Linked DNA regions of Cricetulus griseus. The protein of the gene in region 1 interacts with the protein of each later gene in a biochemical or structural test. Links are inferred from orthologs where the notes say so. Each region holds a gene or a part of one and is shown on either strand. Other genes may lie near its edges.

Region 1 (4,108 bases):
CTGCCTTACAGTGGTGAAGATTGTTACCTTAGGAATATTCACTCTCGACCAGAACAACTCCAGGTGTTCCCTCATTTTCTGTGGCTTGAATTTAGAATACAAAATAGCTAGTTCGGTAAACATTCCCATGTGAGCTCGTTCTAGTCCCAAGGCTGCCTCCAACATGGTAATGAGTTCTTCAAAATATCCACGATCCTAAACAAGGGAAATGTGCAATTAGAGGACAGAATATCTATACAAAGATCTCAATCCATATAAAGGTCTGGTGTTCGTTACCTGATAGTAGTTGATAAGTTCCTCTAATTCATCTGCATGTACTACAATATGAAGTCCACACATCTGAGCAAGACGGAATTCTTTCCCATCTACACAGGCAAAGCAGACCTAGAATATAATTTTCCACTATGAGAATCCAAATATAAATGCAGACAGTTATTTCAACTCAACAGTACAAACAGAATTTTCAAACAGAATCTTAAGTCATCATTCAAACTTGGATTTAGATTACCTCCTTCCATGTTCGAGTACTATTAGCTTTTCTAGCACCATCAACTGCTGCCTGATATTCACCAAGGTGAACAAGGGTAGATGCCAAGCGTCCAAAGTTAGAAACATTATTGTACAACAGCTTAGCAGCATCATACATTTTTTCATCATAACAACGGTCACCAACCTAGTGGGGAAAAGGTAATCCATGATCAGTAAAATAGAGGTCTCAGTTCAATCCCTTTTTCAAGTTAATATTTTTACACTGAGGAATAGATAGGGACATTGCATATGCTGTAATCCAGTACCCAAGAAGTTGAGTCAGGAGCACCCCAAGTTCAAGGCCACCTGAGAGATTCCATCTCCAAAATTACAAACAAAATGAATGAACACACACACACACTCTGCCTCTAAGGATAATTTAATTTCTTAGCACTAATGTGTTGATTCTTCCAAAATGATAAAATTGCTTACTCCTTGAGTTTGACATATGTTTAAAATGTGGAGCCAGTGAGATAATTCAGTTGAAAGGTACTTGCAAACATTAGGACCCAGTTCAATACCCACCACCCACATAAAAAGCCAAGTATGATAGTATGCACTGATGCAGTGACAAACCAATCCTTTATACATGCTGGCCAGCTGGCCTAAATTACCTTTTGACACCCAGGCCAACAATAAACCCTGTCTGTGTTTTTTAAGCAGATAGTGCCTGAGTGGTAAAAACAGAGCTTGGCCTCTGGCCTCTGCATGCACCTATATACAAGCATCCCACTAAACATACACACATATTTAAACAGGAAACCCACTTGCTGAATATGAGCATTATTTGGCCCATTGATGAACTCTTCTAATTCTGCAAGGCGATTTGTTTTAGCCAGCGCAAATATCAATTCTGTTTCAACATAGGATTCTCGAGCCTTCTTTCGGGCCATTTGCAAATACTTCACCAGTTCTTCCCAGTTTCCTAAATAAAGAGACAAATAAGCCCATAGATTAGCATCCTTATTTTATATCTCAACCAAATATATAAGATCTGCTATTAGTGTGTCGGCGCCCCCCCGCCCCCCGCCACCGTCAACTACAATTATTATTAATTTATTTTTTTGAGAGTGGATTTTGCTATATGCTTATGCTTGTGGATTTTGCTATATGCTTATGCTTGCTGGCCCAAATTGCTTAGTGATACCCAGACCAACAAGAGACCTTTTTTTTTTTTTTTTTTTTTTTTAAGTGGATAGTGCCTTAAGGGGGAAAACAGAGCCTGTCCTCTGGCCTTTCATGTACCTACACACAAGCATTCCACAAACACACACACAATGATTATTATGATGCCCAGGCTGTCCATGAACCTAAGGCCTCCTGCCTCAACTTCCCAAGTGCTAGGATGGCAAGTGTACATCACTTCAGCAACTTAACTCCCTTTACAAAGAAACATCACATAGAATAACACATAAAAATGAATATACCTGAAAGTATAAAAATTCCACTATACTTCTGTATTATTGACCCAAAGAATATTTGATACCTTCCCTACATGCTTCCTTTAAAGTTACATATCAGAGTTCTATCAGGATTTTATTAGACTTCAATACAAAATTAACCTCTGGGGACCTTCTAAATTCACACAATGCAGTCAGACTTTAGCTGGGTCAACATGCTGGGCTAAAAGCTTTCATAAGTAATAAAGAAGCATCTAACTTTCACACAATTAAACGTTAAGATATCCAAATGCTTGGCTTAGCAATTTTCTAAGATCTCAAAGGCATAAAGATTAGAAGTCATACCACTAGTATTGGCAGCCTGAACAACTTCCATGTAGGATGAAGGATCATCTGCTTTGATGTATGAATCAATGGCTTCCTTCACCATTCCTTTCTGCAACTGAGCTTTTGCAAGTTGACTCCAAACAGCAGGTTCATTGCAGCGTTCAGCAAACTCATATGCACGATCCAAGTTTCCAATATGTTCAATTAAGACCTGGGCAACATTTTTGAATTGGTGTTACAGTAAAATGGATCTTATTCATTATTACCTATAGCATTTTTGTGATTATTCTATTGTGACAGCAATCTGTGCATGCCATCATAAGGCAATGCATTCTTTACACAAAGTCATTATCTCAATTTATCTAATTTCAAGATTACCTGAACAGCTGAAGTATTGACATCAAACTTCCGGAAAATAGCAAATGCTTCTTCAAACAGCTCATTGCTGATGGCAATATTGGCAATATCTGGAGCATCATAATTATCCAGGCGGTTAATATACTCCATAACACGTGTTCGGTCAGCCTTAATTGCAGTGAGGATGAGGAGGTTTTGCAGATTCCTTTAGAAACCAAGACATTGAACCACAAAGTTCATAAAGCCCATCAGTGATAAGGAATAAACACTACGGCACTGGAGGGTGATCTGTCTCAGGGGAAAGCGTAGGAAGAGGTCAGAGTATCAAGGAGTAACAATTCAGAAAACTGCCTCCCCAAACTGACTGGCTGCAATCAAAGACAGCAGAAAGCTGGTGCAATCCTCTGCCAGCGTACCTGTGTTCACTGAATACAGAGTTATCAAGGACAATTTTCTCCAGCAGTTCAATGAGTTCATTAGGAAGATCTGCTGTCATAAAAGCCTTCACAGTTACTGACACCTCTTCTGGGTCCTGAGTTTCAGACAAGGCTGTCTGTACAACCTACAGATGATATACAGGGAATGGTTATGAAAAATCAAAGTATTTTTAAAAAGACATGGCCTATTAAGAATAGGTTAAATAACTTATTAGAAAACCTTAAATAGAAGAAAAACTACCTATAACTTCACAACGATCTTTGTACACAAACATGAACACACATTAATAATTACATTAACATGAGCAATTATGTAATTTTTACTTTCTCCTCATAAAACACTGTCCATAACAACACTTACCACTATTATTTTAATGGCTTCCTATTTTCAAATCCCTAGATATAGATTATAAATTGAACAACCCTGGTTTTAGCTACTTTCATATGCCCAGACGCCATGATGACTGCAGGAAGCTTTCTATCTACTTGAGAATGTGCCTTGGAAATGCTTCCCCGGGTTAGTGAAAAACTCAGAGGTAGTAATCTATTCTTCAGAGTGCTGTACCTCTTTGTCTATCAGAGGAATTTAAGAATCATTATAATAATGAGCAATAACTAGCACTTTAAATTTGAGATTGCAATTATCATATAGGTATAAAAACTTGTGTACTGTGGTACTTTAGTTAGATTCACTATGATTGATTTGAGCATTGTGTGTGCTATTAGGTACTATTACTGTGGTTGTGTGCATCAATGCGTTCAGGTGCATGTGCATGTATCAAAGTGTCTTGATACCAGGTGTCTTGCTCACTCTCTATTTTTTTTTTAAAGATTTTATTTATTATGTATACAACATTCTGCTTCCATGTATATCTGCACACTAGAAGAAGGCACCAGATCTCATTATAGATGGTTGTGAGCCAACATGTGGTTGCAGGAACTGAACCCAGGACCTCTGGAAGAGCAGTCGGTGCTCTTAACCTCTGAGCCATCTCTCCAGCCCGCTCACTCTCTACTTTTGATAGAAGTCTCTCCCTAAAGCTGGAGCTCATCCACTTT
Region 2 (3,804 bases), about 3.8 Mb from region 1:
TCCTTTGTCCGCATCAGTTATTCCCTCCTTTGAGCTGTGGTACAGCAGAGAAATCTAACAATAATAGTCTATGTCTAGAGGAGATTTAAGTATTGGCTATCAAGGAGCAAAACCTGTGCAGGTCAGGTAAACTTCATGGGATTCTAAGCGATTGGGACGAGTTCCAAAACCCTCCCCCACACACCCCATTTGTTTGCTGAATCTAACCCAACCATTTTGCAGGGAAGTGATTACATCTCTGATAGTCAGACTGACGTCTGTCCCTCTCCAGAGGCATTCAACTAGGAAACCAAGGACAACTATCTCCTATCAGGCTTGACACTGGTGAGAGAAGGCCCAGTGGCTTATTTACTTAAGGCTGAAAGCTGAGAATTGACGGTGTGGAGTGCTTCCCCATTGGACATAGGCATTGGCACGATGGGACTAAGATCAAGAAGATCGCAGGAAGGAGCAGAGGGCTCGTTGGAAGTCTGAAAACAAAGCAGAGACAATTTAGGGGGGAAATCATGCAACTTCTTCTGGCTCTCTCTACACCCATTCCTTTGGAAATTTTCTGAGGAAAACTTCAGACCATGACAGCTCAAATTCCATCTCACTAAGCACATGAGTCCTTCCTTAATTAGAGACCCGTCTCACAACTTAAGATGGAAACCACATGGCCAAAGCCGTGGCAGGTTGTCACTGTGTGCTTCCTCTTTTAAAGAACTGTTTCTAGGGATTCTTTGCTTCCTGAAGGATAATTAATAAGATACTTGATCGTTTACGTTATGCCATTTCTAATCACTTACATCGGTGGCGTCCTTCGAGTTCCTATTCTGTTCCAAAAGCCTTTGTTGGTTTCGAGTGAACCTGTTTAAATCAGCAAAGTGCAACATCATTTATCAAAGAAAACCTAGCATTAGTAAATGCACAGATAGTTGCTGTAGTGATGCCAAGCCTCACCCCTCTCCAATCCTAGGGAAAATACCTTTAGTAACTAACTCTCTTCTAGGGGTGGGAATATGGCTTAGTGACAGAGTTTAAAGATCTGTATTCAGTCCCCAGTACCACAACACAGCCACCAAAACCCTTTCTTCTAGCTAATAGAGTACCAACCTTCTTAGAAAACACTGTGAGGAAATAGAAAAGTTTAGAAAACTTAATAAATCCTCTGTTCTAGAAATTAGCACTACTAGTAATATGAGCAGTTTGTGTATTCTCTAAGTGACTTAATTTCTATATTAATTTACTTACTTTAAGATAGTGTTTTGCTATGTAGCACAGGGCAGACCTATGATCGTCTTGCCTGAGTCTGGAGTGCTAGAGTTATAGGCATGTGCTATTGTGTCTAGCTACTTTTAAACTTAGTGGAAATTATACTTTATGCAATTCTGTATTCTACTTCCACTGTGTTGTATTTTTCTAGTCACTTAGAACTGTAATTTCTAATGCCTATAATGTTTTAACCATAATAATCAACAACACCCTCACCAGTTCTTATTTTCAAATATAAGGTTGTTCTTTACTTCACCATTATAAATAATTTCATGAAATCAAACCAACAGCTGCATAGATGGCCCTGATTAAACTAAATGGGTTGCTCAACTAAACAAACAAACAAACAAACAAATAAACAAAATCATGAGTTTGGAAAGGTACTGTGTGTGTGTGTGTGTGTGTGTGTGTGTGTGTGTGTGTGTGTGTGTGTGTATGCATGGGAGGATTAATAGATCGAGTGGAGAGAAAGACAGGGCTGAGGGAAAGAGTAACCAGGGTGAATTTTATGTATGTATACAACAGCCAAAGGATTAACTTAACAGAAAATATTCAAGTGCATGAAAAGTAGTCCAGTGTTCAGTGTAGCATCTTTAAATACTTGATCCGGAAAAAAAAAAAGACTGATCTTTTACAGTTTGGGCTTCATTTCCCATTGCTTGTCCACCAAGGTAAAAGGGAAGCAGTTAGAACAGTGGGAGTGTAAAAACCAGTGAAGCTGAAGAAGACCACATTACTCCCTACTCCCTATATGCCTGTGAATCTGACTGAACCTCAGTGTTCCATCCACTAAATGGGAATCTCATTTGAGCCATTTCTTCAGAGAGGCAAAATCACATAGCTATGGAGTGATAGATGATATATAGGCAGTAAATGTGGAGTTGGCTTACAAATTGAAAATGGCTTCAGAAACTTATGGTAGTACCATCATCACATTGAATTCAAAAAACCTAAACACTTCTGTACCTGAACACTGACTCCAAAAGCCTAAACACTTCTGTATCTGAACACTGACTCCAAAAGCCTAAACACTTGTGTATCTGAACACGCTCAGTTTTTAAACCAGCGATTCTCAACCTGTGGATTGGGATCCCTTTGGCAAACTTCTATCTCCAAAAATACATTACGATTCATAACAGTAGCAAAATGACAGTTCTGAAGTAGCAACAAAAAAAAATAATTTTAAGGCTGGGGGTCAACACAACAGGAGGAATTATATTAAAGGGAGGCAGCAGTAGGAATGTTGAAAACCACTGTTCTAGATGCTTCTAAATGGAGTGATGGAAATATTTTGCAGGTAGGATGGAGGTAAACCTTTGGAGACTTGGAGGCCAGACTGTTAGAAGAAGGAGAATAGTGTTCTCCTCTAATGATACCCATGTTCTACTTCACTTAGTGACTATTATAGGCTAGATTGAAACTGGGGGGACTGAAGACTGCAGAGGGAATGATGTCAGCTAGCAAGTTTACCTTGGCTAGGGGATTTTCTTGGATATAAGAGACACGCTCACTGTAGTCATAAAAACAGTACTTGAGAAGAAGGGTTTAGAAGAAGCAGGAAGAGTGTTAAGATGGGGGCCTTTCTAAAGCAGGTATTGGCACTGAAGATGGAATAAAGAGGTCATGGGCCAAGGAAAGCGGGCAGCCTTTATTGGCTGCAAAGGTAAGGAGATGGCGTCTCCTTTGGGACCTCCAAAATGAAAGGCAGCCCTGCTGCCATCTGGAGTCCAGTCCAGAGACAGACACTTGCATCTCCCAACCTGGAGAAATGAGTTTATAACCTAATAATAATAAATCTGTGCTGCTCAAACCATGGAGCTCGTGGCAGAAAAACAAAACTGGTAAGCATCTTTTCTAGGAGCCCCCTTTCTCTCTCTCAGAATTCAAGGACCACGGTCACCGTGGTACATGCTGTTCAGAGCAGAGTCAACACAAGCAATCCAAATGCCTGATGTAGAACAAATAAACAAAAGTTCCTCCTTGGAGAGGGCCTTTAACCAGTGTCTTACGGTTGGCAACAGAATTGTCCCAAATGAAAACCAGACATCAGCTCAAAGACTGAAAACCACGGGGTTACCCTTGGACATTTTTCTGCTTACAGAGATTTATGTCACAGGAAAGGGCAAGGACTGTGAGTCTGTCCAGTACTAAGAGCATGGTGACGGGGCTCACTGCCATGTTTTCTTACAAAAACTTGCCGTCCCTAAGAGGCAGTGAATGTGAGACTGTAAAGGAGAAAGGAACCACCACAGTACAGCTGCTGGCTTTCTCTTCCTGATTCTCTTGCCTCAGTGTTGGCACGGGGGAGAAAAAGAGTGAAAACCTTTGTGATTTTTAAAGTCTAAATGGAACATGAATGAGGATGGAAAAATGGTGATTCAGTGTGGGAAATATCAGGAGTATAATTCAGTGATAGAGCACTAGACTACCAGGACAGAGTCCCAAGTTCAATCCTAGCATCACACACAAAAATGTAATGAGTGTCAATATGCCACTGTGTTATTTGTTTGTAATATGCATTATCTCATTTACCCCTGAAAAATAAAATCA

What was found. The genes of interacting proteins can lie anywhere in the genome.
Region 2: the proteins of Cltc (region 1) and Tom1l1 form a complex in vitro, tested with the Homo sapiens proteins (2 studies listed by BioGRID and IntAct). The link is inferred for Cricetulus griseus from reciprocal best matches to the Homo sapiens genes CLTC and TOM1L1.

What each region holds. Positions count from the first base shown.
Region 1 is NC_048600.1:99,945,749-99,949,856, forward strand, and holds part of Cltc (clathrin heavy chain 1), read right to left. Parts: intron 3,175-4,108; coding exon 3,029-3,174; intron 2,818-3,028; coding exon 2,634-2,817; intron 2,467-2,633; coding exon 2,274-2,466; intron 1,454-2,273; coding exon 1,296-1,453; intron 674-1,295; coding exon 509-673; intron 385-508; coding exon 277-384; intron 196-276; coding exon 28-195; intron 1-27. UniProt on the Homo sapiens protein: Clathrin is the major protein of the polyhedral coat of coated pits and vesicles. Two different adapter protein complexes link the clathrin lattice either to the plasma membrane or to the trans-Golgi network.
Region 2 is NC_048600.1:103,763,298-103,767,101, forward strand, and holds part of Tom1l1 (TOM1-like protein 1), read right to left. Parts: intron 850-3,804; coding exon 789-849; intron 471-788; coding exon 353-470; intron 1-352. UniProt on the Homo sapiens protein: Probable adapter protein involved in signaling pathways. Interacts with the SH2 and SH3 domains of various signaling proteins when it is phosphorylated. May promote FYN activation, possibly by disrupting intramolecular SH3-dependent interactions.